4 linked regions of the Drosophila melanogaster genome follow. The protein of the gene in region 2 interacts with the protein of the main gene of each other region in a pairwise test. Each region holds a gene or a part of one and is shown on either strand. Other genes may lie near its edges. The genes, in order: Vti1b, Tspo, CG4686 and CG9628.

Region 1 (2,722 bases), on a different chromosome or scaffold from region 2:
CTGCGGCTTCGATCGCCGCGTTTTCGGCTGGTCCATCGTTCTTCCGAAGGACAATTGAAGGCAACTGAAGCGGAGAGCTGCTGCACCAAAGGAATGAGGAGGCGCAGCTCTGCGAAATCCCAAACATCTCTCGAACAAAGAAGCATCCCCAAAGCGATGCCCACATACTTACATATATGTAACCGTTTATCATAGATCAAGTATTATGCAGACATTGTTCAGGATGTTCTACTATCTCGTTGTCGCCCACTGAATGTAATTAACGTTGCTTTTTGCCAAATAGTCGTGGCATAGCGTGCTGCACGAACTACATATTATCATTGTTATAGCATACGTATGTATATGCGTTGGGACTGGGCTAAACTCTTCGGAGTGCAGAGCTTCCGATGTCCAGACCCGATTTTATCTGTGTTTTACTACCATAATACATATTATAGACGTCTAAGGCATTAACGCTTTAGCCAACATGAATAAACATAATCAACCACCCGATTCATCGCTGGGTATATCCTAAAACTGACCTTTTTGAATTGGAAGTGCATTTTAGTGGAGTATATACATTTATAAGCTTATTAACTAGGACAAAGAATTCGTAACGATTAATAGGTATATATAGTCCATCGCCTGTTTGGTGGTTACGACTTTGGAATAGAATGGCATTGGCTCACAGGTGAGCGAACTTCAGCACCAGCAAGCCGACGAGTATGCCCACCTCCAGAATGATAATCAGGATTAGGATGATCTTGTTGTAGAGCACCTCCCTGCTCAACTTCCGAATGATGACCCTCGATTTGGACAGATCCTGATCGGCGTCCTCCAGGCGGCGCGTGGTGCGTAGCAGCGACTCCCTCTGCTCGCCCAGTTCGCCGAGTACCTGTTGATGCGTAAGCGAGCATTAGTTAGCCCTGTTAATGGCTACTATCTGGGTAATTACCTCCGCCCCCATGTTCTCCGTTTCGATGGCAATCTGGTTGGATCGCTGGATACTGTCCGTCGTCCGCTGTAGCACGTCGTAGGTGCTGGCCGCGAGCTGCGCCTGCCTGCGCTCCTGGTCGCTGCCGCTGGGCAGCTGGCTATAGCCGGCGTAGGACATAATTTGGTAACAGCTTTTAATAAATTAAATGCGATGCAGTGGGAATATCAAAACAAAACAAAGGCAGAGTGTGGCCGTGGTGAGCGGTGCAGTGAAAACGCTATTTGGTAAGGTACTAACGCGTTGTGCGTGGAGCCACCTGTTAACACTTTATGCACTTTACAGCACTTAAAACAGTTGAAATTTAAAATGAAACTGTTACCAAATTAGCTTAATATTATTTTATATTCTAAATTCTAATTAAAAGTTTAAATTGTAAGAAGTGTTAGTTCAATTGGTTTTTTTTTGAGATTGGCTTCCTCACTATCAACAAGCACATCTAGTTACTGCAAAAATATCACATATTAATGGTGATTAATTGGGTGATCCTAAGAGTGATTAGGTTTTTGGAAACTGACCATTTTTTTGGTAGACACATGTAGCACTCGAGGATTTTGACTTTAGTACGGGTATTTGTCGATTTCTGATTTGCGATAACGGTCACCGATCATACATAGTTGGCATGCCCGCGCCGAGAGAGCCGCCTGAATTCACAGGGTGTGTGTGCTGAGTAACAGAGAGTGCGAGGCATTTCGAGGCGATCGCGAGATTTTCGAACCGAAGTCGCGGCAGCGAGTGCCAAATTTAAACGCAGTCGATCGCTGGCGGTGAGCAGACGTGTGCTGCGCTCCATTCAGATTCAGATTCGAATAAAGATACTCTCGCTCGGCAACAAACAAGTTCTAAATTTATCGCTCGCACTCGCGGGGAATCGAATCTGGTGTGTCTTTGACATAAAAAGCGTTTTCGGAGCTGTGAAGGTAAGCGAAAAACTCGAAAAAACTCGAAGCAACTGGAAAAACCCGGCGGGTTCGAGGTGTAAAAGCTGTGCCACGGGTTATCCACCCGTATATATCCCATATCCCCTGTAAACTAGCCATCCAAAGCACGTGCTTTGGCAGCAGGGAGTATGTGCAATTAAGCCCAATTTGAATGCACTTTGGCACGTGATGCTGGCTGCTGACAGCTACTGGTCGGAAAAGTGAGCTTACTGGGGGCTGCGGGGCACACCTGTCATGGGACCCATTGTGCAAACACCTGCCAGAAGTCGCAGCTAAAGTCAGAGCGGCAGATACGCGTAGCGCTATCTCTTTCGTAAGCCCCGAGTATCTCTGAGATACTCAGGTACGCACCTACTACGTTCGCAGTGTGTGTGTGTGTTAGTCGAACCCTTGTCATGTGAATATAATACTCTCCAGAGTATCTGTGAGTCGCGCTCTCTTTGCAAAGTCGCGAGTTTTCGAGTTTTATGCAATCATCATAATCATATGGGGGGGTTCTATCATGTGATCTTTTTCTCGGGGTCTCGGTTTCCAGAAGCCTTGCGTCCCCACAAAGATCTCCAGCTGGAACGGAAACCCTAAAAGCTGGGCTCGAGTAGTTGCGAATAGCGCACAATAAATACCAGTCGATTATGATTTATGGATCGCTCTATAAATTGTCCAATGGCACTTCCAATCGATCAATCAGTATTGCGCTGATTAGCCACAGTCGCAGACCCAGTTTATGAATGGGGAAAATCTGATCGATTCTAGAAATCTAGCAATTTCACATCTGAAGTATAGTATTTTGCCGAGTTGCACACAAGTG
Region 2 (3,108 bases):
TGCTCCAAAGCCGGCCCAGGCCACTCCAAAACCCGCTGCTGCTTCTCCAAAAGCATCCCCCAACCAGACGAATCCACAACAACAGCAGGGAAAAGCAGCTAACAAAGCGTCTCCTCCAAAGCAAACTGGACCAACTGGGGGGCAGCAGAAGTCGGCGGCGAACGCCTCGAAGGCCACAGCCTCCCCGAAATCGGCTGCATCCCCAAAAGCCACCTCCCCGAAGGCCGGAACTCCTACCAATCCTGCTTCCGCCTCTGGGGGTCCCAACTGATCCTCCTTCAGTCTATTTTCTAATCGGCGCCCTTGCATTTCAAACTCACTCGCATTTTCAGAGCCCATTTTCGCCTTCGTTAATCTCTGATGAACCCGGGTACTAACCGTTTTTTGATTATTTGTGGCCTTTACATTTTTGAATAAAATTATGATTTAACAAAGACTGAAGTGAATCGAGAAATTCTTTCTCAATATCTTTGGTTATTCCATTGCAATGTCACAACAAATTGTAGCCTATTAATCGTTCTCGAGAATAGCATTGAAAATTACGATTCTTTAATTTATTATTAACACATAACACATAGGGAATTTTTGAACGTGCAGCAGCATATGATACTTTGAATTTAGCGCCCCATTGGAGGCACTGCTTATCGATATTTTATCCAACTTTGCCCAGCCCTGGTTCGATAGGTCGGAAAGCCCTGCAATTTGCATGAAAGACACCCAAAATTACTTGTTTTTCGTTTATCCTGGGCTTAACTCGACTTAGCGTGGCTGCTAGAGGGCTTCTCCTCGTCCTTGGGCGCCTGCTCCTTCTCCGGGTTCAGCTTCCAGATGGCGTAGTTCAGAGCCGTCGCGAATCCCAGCCAGGCGACGTAGGGTACGAAGAGCAATCCAGCGGTCTTGTTCACTCGGTAGAACAGAACGCCGCAGGCGGACGCGGCGGCCGTGAGTGCAACTATGTCAATAAGGCCCTGGTGGATGAAGCGGATTAGACATAACACCTGGGCTTGGTGATATCAGCAGTACTCACGCCCTTGATGTTGTGCTGCCCGAAGAAAATGGGCGTCCACGCCCAGTTCAAGGCCAGCTGGGTGCCGTACGCGATCAGGGGCAGTTTGGCCGCCTCGCCGGCGAAGCCTCCGCCATCACGCCACACCAGGTAGGAGCCGTAGCCCATTCCCGCGTACAAGGAGATCCACATCGGCGCAAAGACCGAGTTGGGCGGCTTGAAGGACGGGAACTTAAGGTTGGCGTACCAGCTCTGGAGATGCTGCCTGGTCAGCCGCCCGTTATAGATGCCGCCCAGATTGGGCAGAATCACGGCCCCGGCGATGCGGAGAATGTTTCCAGCACACGGACGATCAGCCATTTTCAGAGTTCGCACTGCAAATGAGGCGCAGTAGTGGCGAACCTTCTGGTTTCACTGTTTTGTTTGCCGGTGATTTCATTCGAATGCACGAGTATTGCGAGTTAACGGGGCGAATACGCGACGGATGATTGTGTGGGTAAGCTCCAGCGATGCCAATTTGGCTAGATTTAAACTAGCTAAAGTATGTGGAATGCAACTTGAAATCAAAGACGCTAGAATTAATTAATAGAATCGCATGGTTATTTAGAGCTGTGAACATTTGATTTCTGCCATGAAGGAATTCTCATGTTTTTCTTTAACATGCTATCTGATTAATAGGGATTTAATATTTATCTGGAATTTTGGCAAAGCTGCAAAGTCATTGCTAAGCCGTTAATAGCTGGTTGTCACATGTGCAGGGGAGGAGCATAATGCTTATCAATAGATTCCAAAATGATGTAATGAATGAGTAATGTCGTCGATCTATGGAAGTAATTATTATAATTATATCTACCCATTCGTATTTATTTAAAATTATCTTCGCTGCTGGGTGTCGGAATCACCCTGTGGGTAGGCAGATTTAACAAAACCCGTTAAGTTTTGAAAATAGAAATAGAACTGTATTGTTGGGAAGTACCATATTAAATTCCCTGGAAAAGTTTTGTTTAGCTTGTTTGTTTGTTTTACCCCATGACAAATCGTGCGATCAAGTGGTGAATGATAACTTGAGAACTCATAAACCAAAGAGTTATTTGTCGGTAAAGTGAATTAATGGTGAAATAAAACTATTGTGCTTATTTGCTCTTTGCAATATCCAATAACCTGGATCAAGTTGGTATCTCAATTAATCAATTGCTTAGGAGCAACCATGACAACCGTTGCTAGGCAAACACATTGTTACTGTGTTTTGGCTCCTGCCAAAACAAATTCATCCACTAAAGGTGGAAAACCGGTGTGATGACTCTCTACTTTGACACGAAAATCGAGTTCTTGGACTCGGATGCAGTGAGCACCATCAGCAGCTGGCATCCCAGTGAGCCGCTCTTCGCAGTGGCCTCTTTTAGTCCCGAAAGAGGCGGTTCAGTGACCATCTTTGCAGATACCGTCAGTATTAATCGCTTTGGTCGCAGACCCTGCCAAAAATCGGAATGTATATAATCTATATAATCAAATTGCAGGGTGAGCCCCAGCGAGATGTAACTTATCCGGTGCACGCCACTTCGCAAGCGACGGCACTATGCTGGCATCCGGAGAAGGCGCTCCTGGCCAGCGGTTGGGAGCACGGCGACATCCATGTGTGGTTCGCTGGTCACAGGGAGTTTGCCAGCGTGAACGCACCGCACAAGGCGGCCATCGTCCTGCTGCAGTTCAGCGAGCAGGGCGGGCGGATGGTCACGGCGGATGCCATGGGCTTGGTCACCGGATGGCGCTGCGATGGCCAGTACCAGTTCCTAACCATGTTCTCCCACGACCTGCGGGAGGTGTTGCTGCTGATCTGCTTCCGCCTTACGGTGGAGAGTGAGGTGCGCGAGGAGATGGCCAATCTAGCCAAGGCTGCTGTGGCAGGCGATGAGAACGCCCTGGACACCCTAACCAATTGGAGACCGCGCACAGCAGCCCGGAGCATGACCCATTCGGGGGTGCGGGACAACCACTGCTTCTACGCTTGCACCCAAGGAGGAGTGGTGTACTACATCAACCAAGGAGGCGCCTGTGTCGAGGTGATGAAGTGCGGATCACTGCCTCCCATTGTCCAGATGTTG
Region 3 (4,805 bases), on a different chromosome or scaffold from region 2:
TCTTTGCGGAGGCCTCCAAGCAGAAGTTGTTAGGATAGCAAGCCATCAGCGGCGCCAGCAGACATCCCCACTGAGCTGCCGCTGAGAAACTTTTTACAAGACGTGTACAAATCAAAATAATAGTTAGTCAGGTGTATAAAACTAGGAAACTGATGAGAAATCAAACAGCAAGACAATAAGCTGATGTTAGAGGAGCGTAGGGACTAAATGTTTTTGTACCTTAAAAAAAAGAAAGATTGATATAAACTGCAAATTGTGCAATAATTAATTTTAGCTGAACTTTGTGCATTGGCCTTCAAAAGGTCGCATTGCATTTGTATTATGTGTTCCAGTAAAACGACAATAACAACCTTAAAGAAAAAAAAAACCCAATGAAAAGCCCCAAAAAAAGAAAAAACTAAAAGAGAATTCTATGAAATGTTACGCCTAGTATAAATATATGAGTGTTTTTATAGTAATTTATTAATGTACAGGTATACAATAAATGTAACAGCTCGGTTGGTTCTTTTGTTAAAACGTTTTTATTTGTTTTATTTCATTATAACGATTTAGCGACTTACATTAGCCTGCTATATACACTAAGAGATTGTACGCATTTAACTCAAAAGTATCTTCCATTAGCTGCAAAGCCCTCACTATAATTATTGTAAATAATGGCTAAAAGCGGATATAGTAACTCATATTTAGTTGATGTTGTATTATGTTAGATGATGTTGTATGTTAGAGTTGGCTTAGCTTTATTTGCCTCTGCACTAAATTGCAGTTCAGCATGTGCTACATGGAATATAGATAGGTGGCCTGCCCCGCGCATCCTACAGGACCAGCGACAGCCACGCGGCCATCAGGCAGAATCCTCCGACGGTCGCGTACGGTTGCAGACGCTTCTCGCCAGTCAAAGCGCGGTAGTACATGCAGCCGCTGAAAAGCATCATGCCCGTAATCATCAAAGTGCCAGTCTGCGGGAGGAAATAAACCAATTACTTTAAGTAACCACAGTCATTTGGGCCTGTTCCAAGCCCCACTGTTCTCGAAATCTATATGAAAAGCTAAGCACGACTATTGTAATTAAACGATTTTAGGATGCAAAGAATTTATAGCATTTAAATGTTTAGTCAGGAATCAAGATATACATATGTAAGAAATTCCAAATTGCAAATAGTTTACCCAAAATTTAAGTCACATTGTTATCTAAATGCATTTACATTTCTTAATCAGAAAACTCTAAAACGGAACAGGCCCTATAGTTTATAGTCTAGGAGTAGAAGTTTGCGAAGATGGCCAGCGTTTTGAGTGCATATTTGGTGTTAGCTTTAGTTGTTAGCTTTAAAACGTCGACAAAACGGAGCTCGATAAAGCCCAGATTTTACTTATTAAATAAGGCTGATGACAACAAATACCAATTACAAGATAACAGCAAAAACGAGAAAATCTATGCCTTTTTGGTACATTTTTAACATACGATTGTAATTATGAAGAGAGTAAATCAACAAATTCCTACCCAAAACCCCGAACCCATATCAGCTATGAACCTGCTCATATCACAAACCTAAGAGTTATCCGAATTAACGCAATTATTATACAAGTATCGTGTGTGGTATTGAAAATTACTTTGTAAGCTGCAATTAGTGGTTGTTGAACATTTAGCTTTAGCTTTGGAAACATTTCATATACAACATAAATATACATATGCATACCTATATTATAAAGAAGTAACTTGGAGAAAGCGCTTGGCTCAAATCAATATTCATTCATAGCTCAATTTTGTAATGTCAATCAGCGCATTAGACTAGCTAAGCAGAGAGTCAATTATTCGAGTATCAATGTTGGAGTTTCGATTCGAGAGTAACGCGAGTTGTTATAAATTCCGTTCAGAGATCTAACTTTACACAGAGTTTATGTAAATGACAAACCAACAAAGAAAGCTTTACAAATAAACCAAATACACGACCGAGATCAATTATGATAAATGGTTTCCTTGGGGTCAGTACAGAGGATGGGCCTGGCGGAGGTAGGACTTAACCAGGCACATCTTCAACGAAATACAAATTTTGACTTTTTCCATTTAAACTTACGAATACGGGATAGTGGGCCAGAGGCATGGCCATCATGGCAAAGGAGTGCAGAAAGTGGATGCGATTGGCCACATCAGCAAAGGCCTGCGAGTCCACCTGCTCCTTGGGATCGCTGACGTCCTTCAGGACGTACTTGCAGTAGGCGCCCATAAAGATGGCCGACGCGCCGACGATCCCGGCCAGCCGAATGAAGTGGTAATGGCAGCCGGCCAGTCGATAGAGTGATCCGTGTGAATGCGCGTAGCTGTGGGCGGCAGGGAGCACCGCCATACTCGTCTCCTGCACCGGCACCTTCTTGGGACGCAGACCCTGCAGGAAGACAGTTAAGAATTATAAATCCGGAACATTGTCTAGGAAAAGTCGATTAGTTACAAGCGTGCGGAGCAGGGCGGATGCGGACGAGGCTACCATCTTGCTGACAGGATTGCCCAGGGTCACGTATTCAATGGTGTCAGCGACTGACATTGTGTATTGTTTGCTCAAACTTTGTTTGGCGATGGAAAATCAGCTGCGGCGCTACTACAAATTTTGACGCAAAATGCCCTGGCCTTGCCGGACTGCCGTTGTATTCGATGTTGCCAATTGTTTGGATTCTAGAAATATGAATGCCTCGGGAACGAGAATTTCTTACCATTTGAAGTGAGAAGAAATGGTGATATAAGCAACAAAACAGAACATATATAGGTACTTTGGAGACTTTTATATCCCTGGTTAAACCTTTCAAATTCAAGCTTTCATTTATTTGCGAAAAACTAAACCAATATAGAGTTAGTTGATGATTATTTTTAATAATTCCGACAAAAGAACTACTTGCAATCCATAACTCAGAAGTCGCTCTTAGTAAAAAATCACAGCTGATAAATTCGCTTCACTTGACAACCCTACCGTTTGACCGGTGCGGATACACTGAAATATCAGTGCTGCTCAATTGGGAAAGCTAAATTTTTTCGCCGGCTGTGCGAATAAAAGCAAGGCAAGTGAGAGAACTGATTTAAACCCCTTATCGGCCGATTCGTGAGCAGGTCGGGGCGATAATAAGAATATAAGAATACATATACATAAGCTGAATAAGCAAAGCAACCACTGACAATTCGATCGCTTTTCAGTCGAATCAGCGCAGTTGAACAATGAAAACTGCAACTCATTGCGCATTTTTAATTATCGCGACTATAGTCGCAATAAGCGGAGCAAAAGGAGTAGAGGGGGAACGCCCCTACAGGCGGAGCTTCATCAATCCGTATCCACGCTACCAGTTCTTTGACGATGGTGTCGATCCCGGGGAGCCCCTGTTCCTGACGCCCCTGATCAACAATGCTTCGATGAGCAAGCAAGAGGTTCAAAAGCTGGCCCGCGTCGTAGGCTCCCAGTTCCATGGCGTTGAGAGCTACTCCGGCTATTTGACCGTGGACCCTGGCTTCAAATCCAACATGTTCTTCTGGTACTTCCCCGCCGAGCAGGAGCCGGAATATGCGCCAGTGGTCCTGTGGCTTCAGGGTGGACCAGGTGCCTCCTCGCTCTTCGGTTTGTTCACAGAGAATGGACCACTAGAGTTGGATGGTCATGGGAAGCTTCAGAAACGCAACTATACCTGGAGCAAGACACACAATCTCATCTACATTGACAATCCCGTGGGCACTGGCTTTAGTTTTACAGAGAACGATGCCGGCTATGCTACGAACGAGAAGGATGTGGGCCGCAATCTGCACGAGGCTGTGATGCAGCTGTACGAACTCTTCGAGTGGAGCAACTCCTCTGGTTTCTGGGTCACCGGCGAGTCCTATGCCGGAAAATACGTTCCCGCCCTGGCTTACCACATCCACAAGGTACAAAATGCCATAGAGACCCGCGTCTATGTGCCGCTCAAGGGCGTGGCCATCGGAAATGGTCTCTCGGATCCGCTGCATCAGCTGAAGTACGGTGACTATCTCTACCAGCTGGGCCTGATCGACGAGCACGGACTGCAGAGTTTCCACGATGCCGAGGCAAAGGGTGCTGAATGCATTAAGAGTCACGACATGGAGTGCGCCTTCGACGTATTTGATTCCCTAATCAACGGGGACCTTACCAATGGCTCACTGTTCAGCAACCTTACTGGATACAACTGGTACTACAACTACTTGAAGACGCATGATGATGATGGCGCCAACTTGGGCGAATTTCTGCAGGCGGGCGCCACTCGGCGGGCAATTCATGTGGGCAATAAGACATTCCATGATCTGGACAAGGAGAACAAGGTGGAACTTCACTTGAAGAAGGATATCATGGACTCGGTGGCCCCGTGGATAGCCGAACTGCTGGCCCACTATACTGTGTGCATCTACAGCGGGCAGCTAGACATTATTGTTGCCTATCCACTGACGCGCAATTATCTCAACCAACTAAAGTTCCCCGGCTCGGACAAGTACAAGGTGGCTCCCCGCGAAGTGTGGCGCGTTGGGAAGGAAGTGGCCGGCTATGTCAAGCACGCCGGACATCTTGTGGAGATCATGGTCCGCAATGCCGGGCACATGGCTCCTCACGATCAGCCCAAGTGGCTGTACATGATGATTGATCACCTTACTCATTACAAGCACTAGGAAATGCGTACTTAAACTATTCAGTACAATTTGGAGACCAAATTTAAGCCTTTGTTTTTAAAATTAATCATGAATAATTTGGTGTGAGTTTTGAATGCATAAATATGTTGATGAGAGCATTGGGTTGTTAATACTCAACTAAATTCATATAATTTGT
Region 4 (7,749 bases), on a different chromosome or scaffold from region 2:
GGAATCGTTATCGAACTTGAAGAAGGAAGGATCCGACTCCAGAGTTTTGCAAAAGGATACAAAACCAGAAACCAGAAACCATCAAAAAACAGATGTCAGCAAAAATGTGGTGCAGTGGCTCAATCCGTATTATAAACGAAAAATAGCCACCAAAGAGCTTTTCAAAGCTTTGGCAAAATTGCTCACTCAGCGCATTTGTGATGGAAGCTTAGGTAAGATATTCATACTTCCTGTCTGTTAATACCTTTAAAATGGACCATAAATCTCTAGGAGATGGCGATGCTGGAAAGTGCTATATAAAGGAAACTTTTCATGGCCTGCAGATGATAAACAACGATCAGGACATTGAAAAATATTTCATAAAATCCAAGTGACTAAAAATCTCCTAATGATTTTATCACGACATATTGTTTCGCCTCGTTAAAAGTTGCATCATCTTTTTTTTTCGTTAGTTACTATTTTTGTATATAATAAGCGCATTAATTATCAATAATACATTTAAATAAGACGTTTTTATTTGGACAGTTTTAATAGAAAAACTATTAATTTGGGATATTATTCGCTCGTACAAAATTTATTTGCGTTGAATCTTATTTATTAATTGAATTAGATATAACATTCGTGATGCTCGATGTATTAAGCTTATAAAAAAAACAAAACAGGGCAGCCGATTAAGAACTTTAAACCTCCTCGGACGTCGATTTTGTACATTTTCGATTCGATGATGGCAATTTGTTTTCTTGTGGGATTACAATTAGCTGGGAGACGGGTATGTGAACGGGGCTCTTACTTCTAAGCTGGAGCTATAAATATTACAGTCCACGCTAGGCGAGAATCGAATGTATATCTCTTTCTCGCCAAACTTCACGGGATCGACCATGTCATTCTAGATCACCGTGGACACCTAAACGCAGGGTGATGAGTATGTCCAGCAAGAAGACCAGCGAGGTAACCAAGGCAATCGAGGCGGAAGCCATCACGAGATCCAAACGATGCATATTCGGGTGCCAGTAGTTGCGATCCTTGGTGGTGGACCAATCCCGGAAAAGCAGGGCGGTTACGGCCACGAAGAGCACAAAGGCCACTAGATTCCACAAAGTAGCCGTACGCCATGGAGTCCTATGTGTACATTAAATATATCAGTACTAGCATTTTAATTAAATCAAACTTTAAGCATACAAATCACCGAAGAGCGCCATTATCAGATAGATTGCCGTGTAGATGGTCAGTGCTCCAAAGGTCACATAGCAAAGGGAAGCCACTCGGGGAGTGATGAACACCCGCAGATGAGAATTGGTGGCCGGCTCGTCGATCAGACCCAAACAGCATATAAGCAGGCACTATGGGAAACGACGAATAGTTTTCATAAATTATTTGTGTTTTTAATCATTTTTTTTAACAATTTAGGCATTACTGGGAAGCCGTCTCAAAATGCTGAATCTTTATAAAATGTAATTGGACACCATGAAACTAGTTTCTTATCTGATTTTTAAAAGTTATTCAAAAGATTTCCATTTAAAGGAGTATTTAAATTTAACAAAAACTCACCAGTTCCACAATCTTGATGCATATCACCGTGTAGGTGGCCTTTTTGTTTCCATGAGTTGTGGCAAAGGAATTATCGTCAGCCGGCGACATTTCGACGCGTGAGATTTCTGCACCGAGCAATTAAACAATTAATTAATTAAAGAACACTATACTATATCAATTGGTATTTTGGCCACTTTGACATTTGCTCGGAGCGAGGAAAGAATGACAATAAAACTTATTGTATATGTACCTATCGATCGCAAGTAGCTCATTTTGCAGAGTCTGATTTGGATACGTTTTCGACCTACAGAGGAAACGGAATCTTCAATTTTGGCTTTTTAGTGTTCAGTTAAAGTCGGGTTTAGTGGCCATTTTTGGCCTCCATGTCTGGGTTATCGGATATTTGTTATTGGATGGTCAGTGGAGCGTGCAAACGAGTAAAACCGAACAATCTACGTTCTGTTGTGGATTTGTGTCAATTGATGGCCGAAGGTCTTCCTCTCCCACATGAAATACATCCAGTTGCAGACCGAATTGATTAAGGGCACATTCTGCGATGATCTCATATATTGGGTGTGTGGGACTTTTGGGTGGGGTATATATCTATGTATCTATGAACATATGGGGCTATATTCGACAGCGAGGTGCCGAGATGCATACCAAATTCAACCTGGGAATGCGAGCAGCCTACGTGAGTTTGCATCAAAAAGTCGTATGAATAATAAATCCAACTATAATCGCTGTCTTGTGAACCGTCATCTATAATTCCATTATTTTCAATCATTAATTGCATACCGACAATGAAGCTACTGTCGCTCAATTGTCACCTCTTTTGGACACAATTCAACACCTGTTTTGATATATAGTTCTTTATTCTGATTCTACACTAAAAAATAAGTGTATCGAACCGGAAAGTAACCAATTTCTGTATATCAAGAGAGAATTTTTCCAAAAAAAAGTTTAAACGAATGCCACTCATAATTTAGAAGTTCTCTATTATTGGATTCTTTAATATCAAATATTTGCATACTATTGAAATTTACTTGGAATTCAGCTTAAATGATTTTCTGGGTTATCATAACCGGTAACTCGTTTTTGCCGTGTATAAAGTGGGGAATTGGATCTCCACTTCATGGGCAACAATGGTCCCCCCATTGATTGAAGCTAATTGCATCACATAAAGAACAAAGCATAAAATCCCAATATTAGCCAAAGGCACGTTCAGCAAAAGTGAAGGGGCGGACAAAGAGTAGGGAACTGTGCTAGTTAACCCCACGATGCGTAACCCCATAAACAACAATTAAAATGTGAGGGGGGGGCGGGGAACCAGAAAAAATAAGTCAAACTCGAAATGAAACTGGAAACTCAACACAAACCCTAAAAAAGGGCCACGCACAACTTTCACTGCGTTCGGGGAGGGGGAAAATGTGAAAGGGAGTGAGATGGGAAAGAGCTGTAGAGAAAAATGGAGGGAAAATGATAAAAATGGGCCCAAGACACTCCCTATTTACAAAACGAGGGCTCGGAGCTAATAAACATTTTAGTGTCTAGGTTCTGGTTGCAAAGGTAAACAGCAAATGGGTAAAGAAAACTACCACTATTGAAAGCAGTGGAATGTAGTTAGCTTTTTGTATTAATCTATTTGAATCCAAAGTGATAATTTCATATACTAACAGTAACTCTCCACATCAAACCAAATATATAAAAGTTTAGGTTTATATCAAAAAGTTTTAAACTTTAGTTGTTCACTTTATTGTAAAACAGAATTGTATATATAAACATATATAATAGATTTCTTTTAAGCCAATTCTCTACCCGTTAAATCTCCCCACTAATTTTCGAGTATGTGGCTCTCCAAGATGGGAATTTCAGTGAATAACTGCTTGCGTGTTGTTGCTAACGAGTGCTTCACGTTTTGGCCCACACTCGAACACCCCCCGCAGCACCCCTTTGAACCAAAAAAAATAAACAAGTTTTCTTTGGCGGCGCTTAGAAGAAAGCCCAAAAAGCAGAAACCAAACAAAACACACGCAACAAGCCACGAAGCTGAAAAAAAGGTAAACAAAACGTATTGGCTAAGAAAACTTGTTTTAGAAAAAAGAGCATTTGGCTTAAAGAGAGGATCTAAGAGTTCGACTACCTGCCACACCTGCGTATTTTAAAGGGGATATTTTCTCTCGAAAGGTAGGCATAATTTAGTGGCCAGCACTGTGAATTAACCTCGTTTCGCTTTCAGGCTCAAAAGGGACTGTTTCACACTAAGCAGCCCTATAACTGGTCTGAGTTTTGGGTCAATGACTCGATTCTCCGTTTTTGTTTTGGTTCTTCGATTCTATCCAAAGAATTTGTTTAAGCCATTCCCATCTTAACTTGGGTTTATATCTCTCATTTCCGGACAACCAGAGATCCAAAGAGCTACATCATCTGTACTATCTGTATTTCTCAGCTTTCAATCGCAGTCTTGGGCAATTGAAAAATGCAACAAAACTTGTTTGCTTACCGCCCCCTTTTTTGCCCCCCGCGCGTGTCTTAACCCTCACCCATCACTTGCATTGATATGCACAACTGCAAACTGGTTGCAGGCGAGAGCGACAGGGACGGACGATGGGGGAGTGAGAGGGCAGAACCACCTGAAACACAAATACATATATGCAAAAGGCGCCTACTGTACTTGGTCATCGCCATAGTTTTTACTGCCCGCGAAGGGCAGTTCGCGATTTTCCAGCTGCATTTTCCAAACACGGTCAATACCCATAGAGGGTATGTATATATTGTACCAAGAGGAATCATTTTCGCGTTTAACTTTTACATATAACCAATTATTTTTTTTTTAATTAAACTAAGATGTGTCCTCAATCAATCAGAAAGCGTTTAAAAAAAATCTATAATGTAAAATTTTGTATTTATTTTATTTTATGGTTTTAGAGAGTAATATCCTTACGTTTTGTTGACAATATTTTTGTTATCACTTTACTTAATACTGTTGTAAACAAAAAGTAATGGCAAGCCATAAATCTTATGAATGGGAATTTTGAAGCCTTACAACTTGAAAAGCAATGTTCATGGCGGCATTTTTGCAAATTATTTAGATATTCCTACAATATCTATTGCTACTGCACTTGCCTTTGACCCCATTGAGACCCACACCACGTTTGGTATGGGGAAACATTTGGTTTGGGGCTAAAACATGCAACATTTTGCGATGTGGGCTTACGAGGGTGGTTGGTGCTTGGGGGAGTTTTCTAGGCGACTCCCTTAGGGGTTGTTGGTAAATTCAATGCCAAAGCAATTGGCCAAGGCTCGTCGGGATTTACCATGAGTGTACTGGCGTTACTGTCACTGTTATTGTTTCGTGTCGGGCCTGTCATTGAAGGTCAGTGCCCATAAATGATATTGGTATTGAATCGAAAGGGTTCAGTTAGCAAAAGGGAACGTGTAATTGAGTGCTAATATAAACAACAACTGGGTTCAGAGTTTTTGCCATATTGTTTACATATTGACAGATTTTGAACTAACAGCGTTCAAATATTTAATGTGTTTTCAAGAACGGTAAAGAAATTAAAAAGCTCATTAACTTAATAACTGCTCGTAAGTGCTCCAAGAATTCGTATACTTTAGTTGAGCACTACCTAATTGTTTTTTTACGCCAACGTAAGATATCTGTTTTTTCGCTTTATAAACCCCAGTATTTGTCACCTAATTAAAGCTGCATCAAAGGGAAGGGGCCGCATTGATGGTGAGAAAATTGTCAGTGAGTCACATTAAACAAACTAATTTGTGTTAGCCAGTGTAGTGTTGTGTGTAGATTGTGCAAAATTAGCATGTCTAACAATAACAACAAACTACTGCGATCGTCTTGCTGATGTAGTTATTGTTGTATCTGTGCTTGTTTACTGTACAATTAGCTCTGGGTGGGGCCCTCCGATCTCACAGACTCCATTCGTATGAGAAGATCTTTGGGGGAGAATCAAAACTTCAACGGAAGCTGAACAAATTTTACGTTTTCTTGTTTAGTGCATTTTCAACTTGTTTAAACATTAGTAACTGCCGAGCAAACGACAAACTAGTTTTAGTTTTTACTCAGAATTTCATTTTTGGGTTATTATATTACATTTTTCAAATTTTCGTTGAGTTGCAGATAGGTGCGGTACACAAGTGCAGCCAAATGATTTGGGTTAGCTGTTAAGTTATATCTCACACTAAATACACAGATAAATCAATGAATTCTTTCACGCGCGTTAAATAGTTTCAGTAGTTCAGTTTAAACTGCGACTCAGAGCGGAAATTGGTTTTTTAAAAACCGTCTTTCAAAAAACCTCTGAAACCGACGACACGCCAACGACAACTGTTGTAACCTGAACCCAAAACCGAATCCAAAGCCCGCCAAACGAGCTATTGAGCCACAGCCCAAAAATAAGAGAATATTTCCCAATGAGAATTATTCCCAAGACGTGTGTCAACGCTTGCTGAACAAATATTAAGTCATATTATGGCGGCTTAAAAATTAGCACATGCACGCCATGTATGCAAACAATTTAATCTCGAGTTTTGTTTGAAACTTAAATGCTCTATTAAATTTTGAAGTAAAATTGTGTCGTTGGTTTAAAAAAAAACATTTTAAAAACAAAGCCCAGCTTAGTGGGAAGCGACTGTTGAAAGCTTTTATGAAATTTCCCTGCTATAATAGTAAAGACGTCAACCGAAACCTAAAATCGGTACCATACAAATTTAAAAAAAAAAATAAAGATATTTAGGGTCATTTAGTGTGTGTTTAGTATTTGCCAAAGAAAACAAAAATAACTACAATAAAACATAGGTCTAAATAAGTCTCACCATTGTATGATGAAAAATGCATTTTTAAAATAAAAAGGCGAGAAAGCTAACCTCCTGTGCTATAATGGGTCTCAGAAAATAACTATTAAATGAAACTCAATAATTTATATTATAACATTTATCATTTGATTTCTGTTTAATGTAATTAATTTTCTTTAATTATTGTTTTCTTTTAACAAATATATTCACAGATGTAGAGATGAAATAAAGACAAAGGCAGTAAAAACACTTGAATAAATACAATTAAAGTTAAACTGTACATAATTAGAGTGACAAATTTTTGCGAAACTATGTACAGAAAATATGTAAAACTGTTAAAATCGTGAAAAACAAAACTTAAACACAGTCTTTCCGTTTACAGAACTCTCAAAAACAATTGCTGCTAGTTATTTGCTACGACTAAAAATAAATTTAAGAAGTAATTACAACAAAACATGACGTTTGTATATACATTCTAATCTACTTTACATCCAGTCAGCATAAATTTGTTAATTTATTTTAATTGGTTTAGCTCTTTTTTGATTGCTTCACAGGACTAGGCTGCTGATGCTGGCTCATCAGGGATAAAGGATATACATATATATGTATACAGATATGTGTAGAAACCTAAGCATATTTTACATTAATTTTACTTAATGGTTCAGTTCTTAGCTATTTTAGTTGTATTTGATACAAAACGCCTGAGGGTAGGCACTGTTTTTCGGATCAGTTTTCTAAAGCACCCATTATCAGAAAACCCGATCGCTGAGTCTTAGACTGAGTGGAGTTTTGGGTGCCAGCAGGAACTCGAACTCCGTTTCCAGTGGCTTCACAAAGCTCACATCAAAGGCTAGGACCATCTGATAAAGATAAATTTGGTTGTTTTAGTCAGTGATCCTAGAAATACGATCCCTGGGGCTTATGGATTATACTCACCTTAGCTAGCAGCAGCACCACCTCCATTTCCACAAAACGCTTTCCTGGACACGATCTTCGACCCACGCCGAAGGGCACCACAATACTGGCATTATCCACGTTCACCGTGAAATTCTCCGTGGCAGGATCAATCCAACGCTCTGGGGTAAACTGCTTGGCCCCTTGGAAGTTGCTATCCTTGTGGCAGGCTATCATATTCTGACATAGCACCACAGTCTAAAGATCGGAAACAAATTATTGATAGGAGAAACTAATATTTATTTCCAAAAATAAAATATAAAATAGTAAATTCCAAAAGCTTGGAAATAAAAGTGAGAGTGATCGAAAACTAAGCTTTAACTTACCCCTGCATTAAGCGAGTAGCCCGAGAGCTCCATGTCCTCCTCCAGGATTCTGGCCAGGCAAAAGGCTGTGGGCCTCAGTCTGTAGGACTCCTGTATACAGGCCTTTGTGTATGTGGCATTCGTTAGT

Evidence for each region.
Region 1: the proteins of Tspo (region 2) and Vti1b interact in a two-hybrid assay, tested with the Drosophila melanogaster proteins (one large-scale study listed by BioGRID).
Region 3: the proteins of Tspo (region 2) and CG4686 interact in a two-hybrid assay, tested with the Drosophila melanogaster proteins (one large-scale study listed by BioGRID).
Region 4: the proteins of Tspo (region 2) and CG9628 interact in a two-hybrid assay, tested with the Drosophila melanogaster proteins (one large-scale study listed by BioGRID).

The regions. Positions count from the first base shown.
Region 1 is NT_033777.3:18,398,163-18,400,884, reverse strand, and holds Vti1b (vesicle transport through interaction with t-SNAREs 1b), read right to left. Parts: upstream 1,177-2,722; 5' UTR 1,094-1,176; coding exon 935-1,093; intron 875-934; coding exon 665-874; 3' UTR 546-664; downstream 1-545. Other genes in the region: Wdr37 (WD repeat domain 37), read left to right, coding at 1-58.
Region 2 is NT_033779.5:557,957-561,064, reverse strand, and holds Tspo (translocator protein), read right to left. Parts: upstream 1,454-3,108; 5' UTR 1,367-1,453; coding exon 1,028-1,366; exon of another isoform or gene 969-1,027; coding exon 750-968; 3' UTR 542-749; downstream 1-541. Other genes in the region: uncNacbeta (putative nascent polypeptide-associated complex beta subunit), read left to right, coding at 1-271; rempA (reduced mechanoreceptor potential A), read left to right, coding at 2,303-2,449, 2,524-3,108.
Region 3 is NT_033777.3:19,862,565-19,867,369, reverse strand, and holds CG4686 (uncharacterized protein), read right to left. Parts: upstream 2,875-4,805; 5' UTR 2,538-2,874; coding exon 2,445-2,537; intron 2,382-2,444; coding exon 2,073-2,381; intron 1,954-2,072; exon of another isoform or gene 957-1,953; coding exon 813-956; 3' UTR 501-812; downstream 1-500. Other genes in the region: CG4572 (uncharacterized protein), read left to right, coding at 3,200-4,648.
Region 4 is NT_037436.4:14,620,926-14,628,674, reverse strand, and holds CG9628 (uncharacterized protein), read right to left. Parts: upstream 5,880-7,749; 5' UTR 5,768-5,879; exon of another isoform or gene 5,642-5,767; intron 1,835-5,641; 5' UTR 1,803-1,834; coding exon 1,781-1,802; intron 1,656-1,780; coding exon 1,549-1,655; intron 1,341-1,548; coding exon 1,180-1,340; intron 1,120-1,179; coding exon 882-1,119; 3' UTR 501-881; downstream 1-500. Other genes in the region: RecQ5 helicase, read left to right, coding at 1-212, 271-374; shd (shade), read right to left, coding at 7,092-7,202, 7,279-7,494, 7,623-7,749.